Linked DNA regions of Macaca fascicularis. The protein of the gene in region 2 purifies or fractionates together with the protein of the main gene of each other region. This does not show direct contact. Links are inferred from orthologs where the notes say so. Each region holds a gene or a part of one and is shown on either strand. Other genes may lie near its edges.

Region 1 (7,483 bases), on a different chromosome or scaffold from region 2:
CTTATCTTTGCCATCACATAAATGAATCACATATCAGAACTCACAAATGCATATTACAGTGGGAAACTGTACCTCATGGGGATAAAAGGAGGTGGGAGAGGGATATCTTTTTCGGTCTTTCCTGAAAAAATTCTAATGGGATGTTTTCCTCCCTCGCCTTGCCTGAAGACTGACTTTCCAGCTTTAGTTATGGTTGTGAACAAAAAGGTCTCTGTTTCAGAGAGGTGTATTAAAATAGGCGCACACATAGGGATGTGCTGGGAAATGGTGACGTTCTCTTACAAGGCTGCCAAAAAAAAAAAAAAAAACAGAAAAAGCAACAAAAAAATAGCAACAAGATTTTATGGTAAGGCAAATCAACAAAGGTTATAGTGAGCTCCAAGTTATGCACTTAGCATGGAACTTTTGATGATACCCACGGACCAGTTCATGGCATTGTAAGGTTTCGTGATCCCTCCTGACATCAAAGAGGGCTCTTGTGAAAGTGACTGCAGTTTGCTCCCAAATGAATCCACTTGGAGGAAAACTGCAGGGATGAGGTACATTTCCTGGAGAGCTCATGTCATAAAAAAATACATAAAACATGGATTTGTAAAGAGCTTAAAAAAAATACTGTCACTGTTTTAATATCTCCTTTTTGTAAATGAGGCTGGTGTGTCAGTATAGACTGCTGACATTTCGCTAAGACTTGAGCCTGAATTTCACCAAAGGAAACCCAGACCACCATGGAATAGATAGGAAGTCAGACATTCAGAGCTTGTTGACTGAATGGGTTAATTCAACAGTGGTGCCCTGTTAAACAAAGGTAAATGTACAACAACTCCGAGTCTCTATCTCCCATGCATTCCAAAGGCAGAGCTCCTTCAGATCCTGAACTAGGTACATCCCCATGCTGCCACAGTGACAGCTCCCTGGAGACTAGCACTGGGGAGTTTCTTTCTTGCTTTTTGACAGACTTTTAGGTCTTTACTCTTCTTTGCATTTAGAAGGAATGATAAGAATTTCTTTTTATCACACTGTAGTTTTCCTTCAAGGTTTGTGTTTGGTTGGTTGGTTTTATTGGCAAGCATCAATGCCGCATTACCCGTCGCTTTCCAGTCTTCATCGTGCTGCCGTGAGACCACTGGAAAGCACAGCATTGTCTGCACAAGGCTGGGACTGCTCCTTCACCACAGGGTCTGCAAGAAAGCAGGAGGAAAGTCAGGCAATCGGGGTAGTGAATGCTGAGAGAAGCCCATGGCAAACCCACCCTTTCAACTGAGAGTGAGACAGACTGATGGGCAAGCCAGGGTCAGGGGGGCAACAGGGGAGACGGAAATCACGGAATTCCAGCCACATAAAAACCAAACACTGAGAAATGATCAGGGGAATCGTTATTGCAGTCAACTCTTATACTTTCTCAGAGTACAGACTCAACTGCTAAGAGGCATAGAAACCCTAATTTCCCACTGTTCAAAATTTCTACTTTTTTATTTTCTTTCAATACTAATATCATCTCTAATCCCTAATTTCTTCAAAGCATGTAGAATAATAAGCACTTCAAAGGAAAGGCGAGTAAAAAGAGCCATTAGAAGACCTATCCATTTTAAGCAACCGTAGTTTGAAATTTTTTAAATTGAAGTATGACATATATTCAGAAAAGCAGAAAGATCATTAATGACATGTCATAAACATCAGTATTCCTAATTTGATCTAACTCGGGTAAAACCAGCTTTCTGTCCCAGACACTGGAGTGGGGACATCTGAGTTCCCTGGGGCTGAGGTCTAGAAGGCTGAAGGCTTTTCCATTTGTGGTCTCCCTTATGCATACGGGCCACAGGCTCAAGACCACAGCGACACATTCTTCAGGCAAGAATTTAGTTCATCTCCAGAGGAAATCAAAGGAGAGGGAAAGACAGCATATTGGTTAAGCCAGAGACAACGACTTTAAGTGTTGAATGTTTCCATCTTGATTCAGAAAGCGAACTGAGGTAAGTCTCTCAGCCGCCATGCTCCCCAGGAAGGAGACTGATAACAACAGGAAGTTTATTTGAAACACATATTATCAGTGGAAAGAACCATACACATGCAGAACAATAAGCAACCACACAAAGTGAATGCGCACACACTTCTAAGTGAGCAGTTCAGTCAGGATTTCAGTGAGGTCTCTCCATACCTATTTATCTTTCCTCAAATTCCTTTCATCCATCCATCTGTTCATCTCCTTCTTTCAAAATATACAATGGTTATCTTACTACTTTTAACTAATTACTAGTTTTCTGAAGGGAGAAATAATCTTCAATTAGGTTTCCACACAAATATATATACGTTTGAAAACAAATTTTAGAAACTTGTGATCCATTAACTCAGGGTAACAGGGAGTAGTCAAACAGCCTGAATTCAAGGGAGATACATTCAGAGAATAAGCAAACACCTTTGGTGATCAAGAAACGGATCTACAAAGTTGTTTCAATCATCTACAATAAATGAGATCAAATTCTGGAATAATCCAATCCAAATACCCTAGAATTCTCCTGACTAGTCTCAAAGATAAAGAGTGGAAGATTTGTTCTCTTGAACGAATGACTCCCTGAACACAGTGCCTGGAGACTCACAGAAGTATGGGTGCTCCATGGCCTCTTTGGCAGTCAGTCTCTGTTGATGGTCATATCGCAGAAGTTTGTCCAGAAGATCTAGGGCCTCAGGGCTGACAAGGTGTCTGTTCTCACTATGGATAAAGTTTTCCCAGCGTTTCCGTGAATGTCTGAGAAGAAAAATGAAACATCAGTAATCAGAGACTAAATTCAACAAGAATCCTTATCTACTAGGGCTAAAGCCAACAAAATCTTAGAACAATGTACTGATTACAAGCTTGTTAAATCTCTAACTGGTGCCTGCCTTACTGCCCCATAGTTACAGCATAGCATCCTGAAACACAATGGTGCTCTGTGATTAGATAAACACAACTAGGTAAAACTTCTATATCTGAATATCTGATTTAGAATATGTGGAACCTTTCTAGATTATTTTTTATGCGGTAGGCTTTTAGTCAATTCTGGGTGGCATGCAGGACAGTGGGTAATTTTTTTTTTTTTTTTTTTTTGAGACGGAGTCTTGCTCTGTCACCCAGGCTGGAGTGCAGTGGCCGGATCTCAGCTCACTACAAGCTCCGCCTCCCGGGTTTACGCCATTCTCCGGCCTCAGCCTCCTGAGTAGCTGGGACTACAGGCGCCGCCACCTCGCCCGGCTAGTTTTTTGTATTTCTTAATAGAGACGGGGTTTCACCGTGTTAGCCAGGATGGTCTCGATCTCCTGACCTCGTGATCCGCCCGTCTCGGCCTCCCAAAGTGCTGGGATTACAGGCTTGAGCCACCGCGCCCGGCCAACAGTGGGTAATTTTTATCGGTCAGCAGATATATTTCCCAGGGCTAGCCTCAGGAACAGCGAGGTTACACAAAATACCGTTTGAAAACTGTTAACAAACTGTTTACTTCTCAACATTATTGCACTGTACCTGAAAACTCAATGTACTTTAAAATTTGCTATTGTATAGAAAAACCATTACGGAGAACAAGAAGAAATTGTAAGTCTCTCCACCTTGAAGAGGTATGAAGTAAATAAAATAAAGTAAAATAAAATAAAATAAAAAAAACTAAGTCTCTTATTGAAAGAATCATCGCTCTCCAAGTTTGGCCATTAAAAAGAAGCTTATGCTGTACCAGAAAACTTTTTTCTGTAACATTATGATTTTTGTTTTATCTTTTCTACTAATAGGTTATCTCTCAGAGAAGTAAAATGATTAAAAGACATAAAGCCCAAATATCTCAATAAGTTAAAAGAAAACATGCATAGGAAAAAAGACGGCTATTTCCATTTTACTGTAATTAGAACAGGAAAAGAAAGTGATTTTGGCTAACCTTTCCACTTCTGAAACGGGGTAAGGTAAAGCACTCTTTCTCTTACTTACTGTCCCAGGATATCGTTGAAGTGTGGATCTAGGTCTATGTGATACTTCTTCAGATACCCATACAGTTCTTCTGTACCCAGAACCTTGGCAATGCGAACAAGCTGAAACACAAAACAAACTGACCAAATCACTGAGCTCAGAACATACTGTGAGCCCATGAGGACGCTTTACCAAAGAATCAGAAGACTTCCACACCACTAACCCTCTAGGGACCAGGTACAAACACGAGTCCAGGGCAGGCAGGCAGACCCAAGGACAAGAAGTTCACATGAATGCAAATTTCCAAACTGCCTTTAAAATAACACAACTTATAATAATCTTCTACAGATGGACAAGTACAGGGCATCACAATCTAATGGCTAAAATCTAGTTTTATGAGACAAGGAGGTGCCTGACTTCTTCACATTCACTTTGGAAGGTTGGCACAGATAGCATTATCTGCCTCTACTTCTGCCGACCTGGCAAACACAAAATTCTGTGCAATCTTTATCTTGAAGAAAAGCTCATATGTAGACACTGAGTGACATTTAGTGGCTCAAGGATAGTATTCCTATCTACGGATGCTATTTTCTTGGCATTCACCCCCAAATAAGTAAGAACCAGATTGTGTTTGCTCACCTGGTCATAGTTGTCCTGTCCATGGAAGAAGGGTTCCCTTCGAAAGATCATGCTTGCTAACATACAGCCCAAACTCCACATGTCCAAGCTATAATCATACATCTAAGGCAATAAGGACAACCCATCAGCCAAGGGCAGTAGAAATCCATTTTTCTGATATAAATTTCTTTTTTAGATGAGATTGGGCATGTTCAGGGTGGTATGGCCGTAGATTATTTAAAAAAATTTTTTTTTTTAACTTTCTGGCTCCTAGAAATGTTCTGATCTGAATTTCTAGTCTTCATTTAATCTTTACAGATATTTTAGATTTAAAAACTTCTCTGTCCCCCAAAAAACTAGCTAAGAAAAAACTAAAATTAGCATTTTAGGGTGAAATAATGGCTGGGTTTTGAGTGTATCCAAACTGACTAGATAAACAGCAAATCAGAAAAAGCCCTAAGCAAGTATAAATAGCCCAGAGTAGCTCTGCTAAACAAGTTTACCTGATAGTCCACGAGGAGCTCCGGTCCTTTGAAGTACCTTGAGGCTACACGAACATTGTACTCCTGAGCAGGATGATAGAATTCTGCGAGACCCCAATCTATCAGTCGCAGCTACAAACAGGACAGAAAAAAACATGTGAAAGGAGTGTTTCTAGGGGCCTATGCCTTAGAACAAGGCCACATCACATTAGGTAACAATCATTTGTCCACACAAAAAATGTGAGCAGGTGCACTGGCTTAAAGATGACATTTTCAGCAACTGTGCAAGAGGTCATTTTTAGAGTAGAGCACTTGAAATGCTTTTTGAAAAAATTTTAAATTATCCTGGTTCATTCCTCTCTCTAGATCAACAGAGCTCAACCTTTTTTTCTGCCTACATTCAGAAACTGTAGGCAGTTACATTTGGTAACACATTCTCCCATTATTCATAGCTTTTTGTTATAAGCTCCAGGCGTCAGTGAAAGGGCTGGGGGGACACATCCCACTCCAGGACTGAAGCACTGCTCCAATGATTTATTTGTCTACTACTAGATGATCCATTTACTCACTGATTAGGGCCAACAGAGATGGATATCAAAAATAGGGGGGACCTAAGTGTTCTTTTAAGGCCAGGCAGATTGGTCTGCAGGTCATCAAGAAATGAAGCAGAAATCACCAGCTGTAATTTCTTTCTGAGGCCCTTCAGAAAACTATGACCAAAATAAAACAAGTGACTATAGTTAGCCACTATACTTAAACCGTCTACTTTCCTTGTGTACTACGCTTTACAAAGTAGAAATCGACAATGGAGATGGGAAAAATCACAGTAACAAAAGTTTGCCCAAAAACCCACCATGGGTCTACAGAAACCTTCAGGGCACTGGACAGCTTTCTGGTCTGCTCTAAGCCTTTTAATCAAGCTTGTTGCTGCCTGGCTGTAATGGTACCTTTTTCTGTTGGTGATCTATCATGACATTGTGAGGTTTCACATCCCTGTGCATGATTCCCTTGCTGTGGCAGTAATCCAGAGCCTATTAGGTAAGAAAGCACAGATAATAGTAAGCAACCCCACTACCATCCCCCAATGCAAGCACAGTCTTATTATTTGTGACACCTTGACTTGAATACAGTCCCCCAAGGGGCAGCTTGCTGCCTGTATTGAAAGATTTAAAAAAGTGTGCTTCAGAAGGCACCCCTTGCTCTCTCGGCATACTATAGCCAGTAGAGAGAGGGTATGAAGGGAACGGCAAGGGCTAGGAGGAAGATTTTTTTTTTTTTTGAGATGGAGTCTCGCTCTGTTGTCCAGGCTGGAGTGCAGTGGCACAATCTCGCAATCAACACTTTGGGAGGCTGAGGCGGGTGGATCACTTGAGGTCAGGAGTGCGAGACTAGCCTAGGCAACACGGCTATATTAAAAATACAAAAGGTAGCTGGGTGTGGTGGTGCACGCCTGTAATCCAGCTACTTGAGTGGGCTGAGGCAGGAGAACTGCTTGAAGCCGGGAGGTGGAGGCTGCAGTGAGCCAAGATGGTGCCAATGCACTCCAGCCTGGGCAAAAAAGGCAGGCAGTGGGGAGGGGGGTGGTGTGTGTGTGGGATGATAAACCAGACTTTGGAACCTCACTGGAGTCACCTCTCATAATGGTTCAAAGGACAGACCAGCATCTATGTGGACATGAAGAATGACATTCAAATACATCTTTCAATATGGCTTATTTTGTACACAAAGGTCCCACGTGGGTTTTCTGGATGACCAAGCATTAGTATTTTCCTTAATACAATCCCCGAGCCTTTAAGAATTATCATTACGAGGCCAGGTATGGTGCTCACGCCTGTAATCCCAGCACTTTTGGAGGCCGAGGCAAGCAGATCACTTCAGGTCAGGAGTTCAAGACCAGCCTGGCCAACATGGCGAAACTCCATCTCTACTAAAAATACAAAAAATTAGCCAGGCGAGGTGGTGGGCGCCTCTAGTCCCAGCTACTTGTGGGGCTAAAGCACAAGAATTGCTTGAACCTGAGAGGCGGAGGTTGCAGTGAGCCGAGATGGCGCCATCGCACTCCAGCCTGGGAAACAGAGCTGGTCTCAAAGAAAAAAAAAAAAAAGGAATGATCATTACATTATTACTCCAAGGGAGAAAACTGCTTTGTATAAGATGATTGATATGCAGATATTAGGTATATAATGGTTTTTCACAAATTTAAAGAGCTGTGCAACCATTACCACAATCCAGTTTTAGAACATCTCCACCCCTAAAGTTTTTCTTGAGCTTGTCTGTAGTCAATCCCCTCTCCTAACTTCTCCCAATCCCTCCGTGCCCTGCCCACAACCACTGACCTGCTATTTGCTGGTATAGATTTGCCTTTTCTGCACATTCATAAATGAAATCATACACGTATAGTGCTTCGTCTACCTTCTTTCACTCAGTATACTATTTCTGAGATTCATCCAAGTTGTTT
Region 2 (7,483 bases):
CAATCCACCTCTTGATCCCAGCCCTTGACTTCCCCAAATTCAATATTCTGATTGGTGTACCCAGGTCACTATTGGATCCAGCTTTCTGGGTCCTTTAATTTGCTGTATATGCACTCTACATTAAACGTAATTAATGCAAAAAAAATAATCTCTTCAAGAAACCTTCATAACAAAATACCAGATTCCCCTTTAACAAGAAAAGGGGATCAAGCTTAACGCCAAAATAGAAGACAAGAAGTCTGTCAGAACATAAGGATGGCACAAGACAGCTCTGACCTCAGGCCCTGTGCTGAACAAGAGTCACTGGCAAAACCACAAGAAGTAAGAACTGTAAATATCCACAGTCATGTGGAAAACAAAACTGTTTCCCATTTAGTCATCCTCTGAACTCTCAGCAGACCTTTCATCTGTAGCTACTTTCCAATTTGTGCGTTTGTTTGTCCTCTCCTGTATTTCACTGTTGGCTACAGGCGTATGGACTTTTTTCTCTCTCTTTTTCCTTTTGGTTTTCTTAGTGTCTCTTTCCTCACTTTCCTCAGAACTGCTGGATGCTGAATCATCTGAATGTGAAGTGTTACCTTCTGCCTCTAAGAATAAAGCAGGTTTTTTGAGAGACTTTTTCCTGGATTTTTTCTTGCGCTTATGTGGTTGTTTCCTTTTCCTTGTACCAGAAGCCCCCGTTTCTTCTGAGAACTCACTCGAGGAATCTGCTGTTATATCTGTGGCTTCCTTTTTGCTTTTCTTCTGTTTTTTGTGTGACCTTTTTTTCTGCTTTTTTTTGTGGGATTTCTTTGACTTCTTGTGTTTGTGGGATTCATGGGTAGATGACTTTACCTGGGGAGATGTTTTTTTCCCGTTGGTAATATCTTGCTGATCACTACTAATAAAAAAGTAAAAAATAGAAGCTTTTATGTAAAAAAAAGCATATTATTTTAATATTTTGCATTCTAGATAAAAAAATTGAGATTAACATCTGAATTTTAAATCAGCACTTTAACATATACTTTAACACTTTAATATTCTCATTGAGTTTTTGTTTCCTCTTCTTTAAAATGAAGGTAAAAATTCTGAGCTGCCATACTGGGTTACTGTATGGAGTACTATATATAAAAACCAAAATGCTTACAGACATGCCAGACATCAACCACAGAATGGCAAAACAGGGATCACCTCCTAACTAAATCACCTATTGTTTCTCTAGCTACATTTTCAATGGCAAGTATATTCTTTGTAAAAGTTAGAAAATCAATTTATAATACAGATTTTGTACCATCTTAGTTTCTTTTGGTAAGCCCATTTTCCTTACCTGTCTGTTTCAAATTCTTCAGGGTATAACTCTTTATAACCACTGTGACCCCATCTGTAATATGACACACCATATGTATTGTTAAAGCAATGTATACGTTTTTGGAAATTAAAATTAGAAAGACTTTGGAGTACATGCATACACAAACATAAACACAAAATAGAGATATGGTAGAACCAAGCCCACATTACAGCTCAGTAACAGCTACATTTCCTGTATTGTGCACTATCATTTAAGACACAGAAGATTCTTTGGTCCATTTGTAAGAGAACTTGCCATTGTTTTAAGAAACACTAACGAACCTTACACTCTGCTCTTTAGCTGTGAAGCACTTTTCCAAAAACACTTCATAATATCATGCTGTCTACATGGGGACAATTTTTTTTTTTTTGAGATGGAGTCTCTCTCTGTTGCCCAGGCTGGAGTACAGTGGCACGATCTCAGCTCACTGCAACCCCCGCCTCCGGGTTTCAAGTGATTCTCCTGCCTCAGCCTCCCGAGTGGCTGGGACTATAGGCATGTGCCATCATGCCCAGCTAATTTTTATATTTTTAGTAGAGATGGGGTTTCATTATGTTGCCAAGGCTGGTCTCGAACTCCTGACCTCATGATCCGCCCGCTTCGGCCTCCCAAAGTGCTGGGATTACAGGCATGAGCCACCGCACCCAGCCTTATTTTTTATTTATTTTTATTTTTTTCTTGAGACAGAGTCTCACTCAGTTGCCAGGCTGGAGTGCAGTGGTGCAATCTCGGCTCAACTGCAACCTCCACCTCCTCGTTTCAAGCGATTCCCCTGCCTCAGCCTCCCAAGTAGCTGGGACTACAGGCTCATGCCACCACGCACAGCTAATTTTTGTATTTTTAGTAGAGATGGGGTTTCACCATGGTAGCTAGGATGGTCTCAATCTCTTGACCTCGTGATCCACCCGCCTCGGCCTCCCAAGTACTGGGATTACAGGCGTGAGCCACTGCACCTGGCCTATTTCTTTTTAAATAACAACTTTATTGAAGTATAAATTCACATATCATGGAATTCAAAGTGTAGTGCCTCCAGCCCAGGGCAATCACTAATCTACTTTCTGTCTCTATGGAATCGCCTACCACATAAATGGATTCATACAGTTATGTGTGGACATAGTACATACATAGAATCATACAATATGTGGTCTTTTGGAACTTGGCTTCTTTCTTCTCACTTAGCATAATGTTTTCAAGGTTTATCCATGTTGTAACATATATCTGTACTTCATTTCTTTTACTGCCAAATAATATTCCATTGTATGGATATATCACATTTTGTTTACCCATTCATCAGTTGACAGACATTTGGATTTACTTGGCCATTATTTTTTGGGGCCATTATTAATAATGCTGGTATGAACATTTGTACACAAGTTTTTTGTGGGGACAATTAATTTTGATAAGTACACATTCTCAGGCCAAATATTAATGCTCACAGGAATTAATCACAAACCTGTCTGGCATGTTAGCTTCATAATCATATAACTTCTTGTTCCAGGATTTTGCCTTAAGAAAATCATCTTCCAGTGTCCCAGAAATTTCATTCTTTGGCCTCCAATAGTCTCTTTGACTTTCTTCATCAAAACCATCACTGCGCATCCGGCTAAAAGAGAAAGCAGAAGAACTTTTAGATGTAAAAGCAATCTGTGAGTTTACTTTATGGAACATCATGCACAAAACTCATGGAACAAGCTGAGGGGGAAGGAAACAACATGATACTGTTTAAAAAAAAAAAAAGGTAAAGACATCTGTTCCTCTCTATACATCTGTAAAGTCCAATGGAAGAAATCTGACCAGGCCTAGTGTGGTGGCTCATGCCTCTAATCCCAGCACTTTATCTGTTCCTCTCTGTACATTTGTAAAGTCCAGTGGAAAAAAATCTGACCAGGCCAGGTGCAGTGGCTCACGTCTGTAATCCCAGCACGTTGGGAGGCCAGGGCAAGTGGATCACTTGAGGTCAGGAGTTCAAGACTAGCCTGGGCGACATGGTGAAACCCTGTCTCTACTAAAAATACAAAAAAAGTAGGTGTAGTGGCGCACACCTATAGTACCAGCTACTTAGGAGGCTGAGGCAGGAAAATTGCCTGAACCTGGGGAGGCAGAGGTTTCAGTGAGCCCAGATCACGCCATTGCACTCCAGCCTGGGCAACAGAGTGAGACTCCGTCTCAGGAAAAAAAAAAAAATCTGACCATTAGTACACATCCTATTGCAAAGCATAGAGAGATGAAATCAACTCTGGACTGTCATGTGATAGTTCACTCGCTGATTCTCAACTAGGAAGGCATGCAAAGAGGGAAGCAGAACATAATCATAGCTAGGGACACTTCAAACTACCCTAGAGATTCTGAAATACACTTCCCTCTGTGCAAACCAGCAACTTACTATAGAGAGGTCCCAATAACAGTGGGAACAAGGTCTAACCCATGAGAATAGTTGAGTAGGAAAAAAGTTGAGAACCATTAATCCAGCTTCTGTTTACCACTTCTACTAACTAGCCAGTAAGCTGCTAATCAGTTATCAAAAATTCGTAAGGGGCCAGGCCCAGTGGCTCACACCTGTAATCCCAGCACTTTGGAAGGCCTAGGCGGGTAGATCACTTTGAGCTCAGGAGTTCGAGACCAGCCTGGCCAACATGGTGAAACCCTGTCTCTACTAAAAATACAAAAATTAGTCAGGCATGGTGGCAGGTGCCTGTAATCCCAGCTGATTGGGAGGCTGAGGCAGAATAATTGCCTGAACCCAGGAGGTGGAGGCTGTAGTGAGCCAAGACCACACCACTGCACTCCAGCCTGGGTAACAAGAGCGAAACTCCGTCTCAAGAAAAAAAAAAATTGTAAGGGCCTCTTATGTACCAGGTATTGGTCTAGCGGGCAGGAATACAGCAGCAAATGAGAAAATCACAAGCCCTGCTCCTAAAGAGTTTAAGTATTTCTTATATATGTAGCTCTTACACTTACAAGCATATAAGGATGTTCCCAATTATTCAAGCATTCCTAGGCCTCTCCACAAGGAAAACACAACTAACCTTGCATAATCCTTCATATTTACACTCAAGCTATTAAGGTAATGTGAAAAGGCTGTTGATCTGGTGAAGAGGGTGAATACATAGGGTGAAGAAAAGTCTGAGGCTGGGCAAGTGGCTCACGCTTATAATCCGAACACTGGGAGGTTGAGGTGGGAGGACTGTGTGAGCCCAGGATTCTATACCAGCCTGAGGAACACAGCAAGACACTGCCTCTACAAAAAAAAAAAAAAAAAAAAAAAAAAATAGCTAGGCAGAGTGGCATGCACCTGCAGTCCCAGCTACAAAAAGAAAAGCCTGAAAGAATGAAAAATTAATAGAGAAAGGAATGATTGATCAGCTTAGTGACCACAAGATTCCAGTAGAAAATCTTAAGTTAAAAGCTATCAGGTAAGGTTAGAAACCACAGAACCCTACACATTCATAATTGTTCAGGGAGAATTTTTTAACTCTCCATTGTAAATAAGTACAGAGAGTGGGGGCATATGCATCATAGCCATTATCTTTATGCCTAGATTTACGAAAGAGGAAAGGCTTAAGGACTCACAGAACTAAATTCATCTATCCTTAATATACCAAAGTATTTTTAAACAAAAGTTGATGATTCTGAAAAAGATGAGAATTATTTTAGTTCTCAGAGCTGCAACTTCACCTTGAACTGCTGGGTAGCATTTTCCTTTTGGTCCCCCGGTAAGCATCTTCCATCTGTTTTTCCAGTTCTCTTATTTTCCACATATCTGATTCCTCCTGAATCTAGAATTTTTGAAAAGGAAAGAAATAAAAATAAGTTACTAAAAATAACTTTACATTACAGAAAAGTAACTAACTGGCCGGGCGCGGTGGCTCACACCTGTAATCCCAGCACTTTGGGAGGCCGAAGCAGGCAGATCATGAGGTCAGGAGTTCGACAGCAGCCTGACCAACATGGTGAAACCCCGTCTCTAATAAAAATACAAAAATTAGCCGGGCAAGGTAGCATGCACCTGTAATCCCAGCTACTCAGGAGGCTGAGGCAGCAGAATCCTTGAACTCGGGAGGCAAAGGCTGCGGTGAGCCGAGACCACACCATTGCACTCCAGCCTGGGTAACAAGAGCAAAACTCCGTCTCACTGTGCCACTGCACTCCAGCCTGGGCTACAGAGTGAGACTTGGTTTCAAAAAAAAAAAAAAAAAAAGTAACTAACTGAAAATACAATCTGACTAATTATTGGGCTACAGACTGGGCTATGATCAGGAACCTGGAAAACAAATTGGTTTCTCTAGAAAGTGGCTGAACAGTCCAATCCAGTAAATCTCAAATATCTAGAATTATTCCCCAATAGAATTTTTAAACCCCTGTATAAACATCACCTTATCAATTTTGCAATTATGCTGCGATTAGCAAATGATAATGCCACATTTCCAAAATGCAATGTGATTTTAATTGTATCATCTCAATTGAACTTTAAGCAATCTCATGAGGAAAATAAAGCAGCTACCATTATTACATTTTACTGTAAAGAAACAAAAGCTCAGAGATTTTACCAAAGTCAAAAAACTAGTAAGGACAGGTCTTTAAACTCCCTAAGCTATAAATCTCTTCTCATAACATAATTTTTGTCAAAAATAAAATAAACAGTATGGCTGCTAGAGAATTTCTTGAAAAGCAGAATGTGATTACCCAAAGAACAAGAACACATTTTATTTCTAAGTCTTCCCGCATAATTTCATTAGATCTGTGCTAGATTTATCTTTTTCTAGTTGCCATTTTAAATCTAAGCTTACTATACAACCAGGGGCAGGTTAACATAATGGCACAGGCAGCTTGGGGTAACAGTTTTACCCTTGCCCATAATTTTAAAAATCAGGTGATATGATAGTAATAATATGATCAAACCAAAAGTAGTAGTTTACTGAAGAAAACTAAACCAGGTGCCTTGGCCCTCTTTTCATTATATGTGCTCTCCTAGGTGACCTCATCTACTCTCATGACCTCTTATCATCAACCTATACATCAATAATCCCAAAACCTTTATGTTCAGCCCCAACTTTTCTCCTCTACTCCAAGTCTGAATTTTCAACTGCTTGGACATCCTATAAGCACCTCACCATCAACATGCTGAAAACCAAATTACCTTTCCTATCATAATTGTCCCCTTTTTTGTTCTTTATCCCAATTAACAGAATCATCATCACCCACTCAGTCACATAGGTGGTTACACAGTTGACCTTGAACAACAGGGATCTCAACTGTGCAGGTCCACTTATCCTCAGATTTGCTTCCACCTCTGCCACCTGTGAGATAGCAAAACAAGCCCCTCTTCTTCCTCCTCAGCCTACTCAATGTGATTTTCTTAATAAAATGTTCTTTTCTCTAGCTACTTTACTATAAGAATACAGTATATAATACATGTAACATAAAAAATATGTGTTAATCCACTGTTTATGGTATTGCTATGGCTTTCAGTCAGTAGCAGGCTATTGGCACTTAAGTTTTGAGGGAGTAAAAAGTTATACATGGATTTTCGACTATTCAGGGGGTTGATGCCCCTAACCCCTGCATTGTTCAAGGGTCAACTGAATTAGATTCCATTCTTATCATTATCATCTAATTAGCCACCAAGTTCTTTGGACTCTATCTCCTAAATTCCTCTTCTTTATCCCTGCTGTCACTAATTTCACGCGAACCCTCATCACCTCTCACCTGTAATACTGCAATTGCCTCCTAATTAATCTCCCTATTGTTTCTCCCCATCTGATTCATTCCCCACCCATCTGACAAACCATCTTTCTAAAATATAACTATGATCATGTCACATCCTGTTTAAAAACATTTGATGGCTTCTTTACTGCCTAGAGGAAAAAGTCTCAGTTCCAAACATCACAATCCAACTCTAATGACCACTGAGGCCTTATCTTCTGCGCCTATCCCTTCATTCCCCGCTTTCTGGAAAATTTCTTGCCATGCCCTGAGTGATTAATGCTCTTTTTTGTTGCCATATTAATGCATGATGCTCTCTATCCAGAATGATCTTTCATACCTAGTAAGCTTATACTTATTCAAGAACCAGTTTAAATGTCAGCAGCTCAAATACCACTAATTCTGTAAAATCTTTTCTAATTCCCCGGGGTAGATTTTATTATTTCCTCCTTA

Evidence for each region. The genes of interacting proteins can lie anywhere in the genome.
Region 1: the proteins of NKAPD1 (region 2) and CSNK2A2 purify together in Homo sapiens (affinity purification with mass spectrometry; 5 studies listed by BioGRID and IntAct, counting the BioPlex papers as one, with this or other methods). This does not show direct contact. The link is inferred for Macaca fascicularis from reciprocal best matches to the Homo sapiens genes NKAPD1 and CSNK2A2.

The regions. Positions count from the first base shown.
Region 1 is NC_088394.1:54,259,911-54,267,393, forward strand, and holds part of CSNK2A2 (casein kinase II subunit alpha'), read right to left. Parts: intron 6,057-7,483; coding exon 5,973-6,056; intron 5,158-5,972; coding exon 5,047-5,157; intron 4,667-5,046; coding exon 4,565-4,666; intron 4,048-4,564; coding exon 3,947-4,047; intron 2,744-3,946; coding exon 2,595-2,743; intron 1,179-2,594; coding exon 1,102-1,178; 3' UTR 1,085-1,101; exon of another isoform or gene 1-1,084.
Region 2 is NC_088388.1:111,008,044-111,015,526, reverse strand, and holds part of NKAPD1 (uncharacterized protein NKAPD1), read right to left. Parts: intron 5,104-7,483; coding exon 5,003-5,103; intron 2,931-5,002; coding exon 2,781-2,930; intron 1,361-2,780; coding exon 1,307-1,360; intron 881-1,306; coding exon 373-880; 3' UTR 1-372.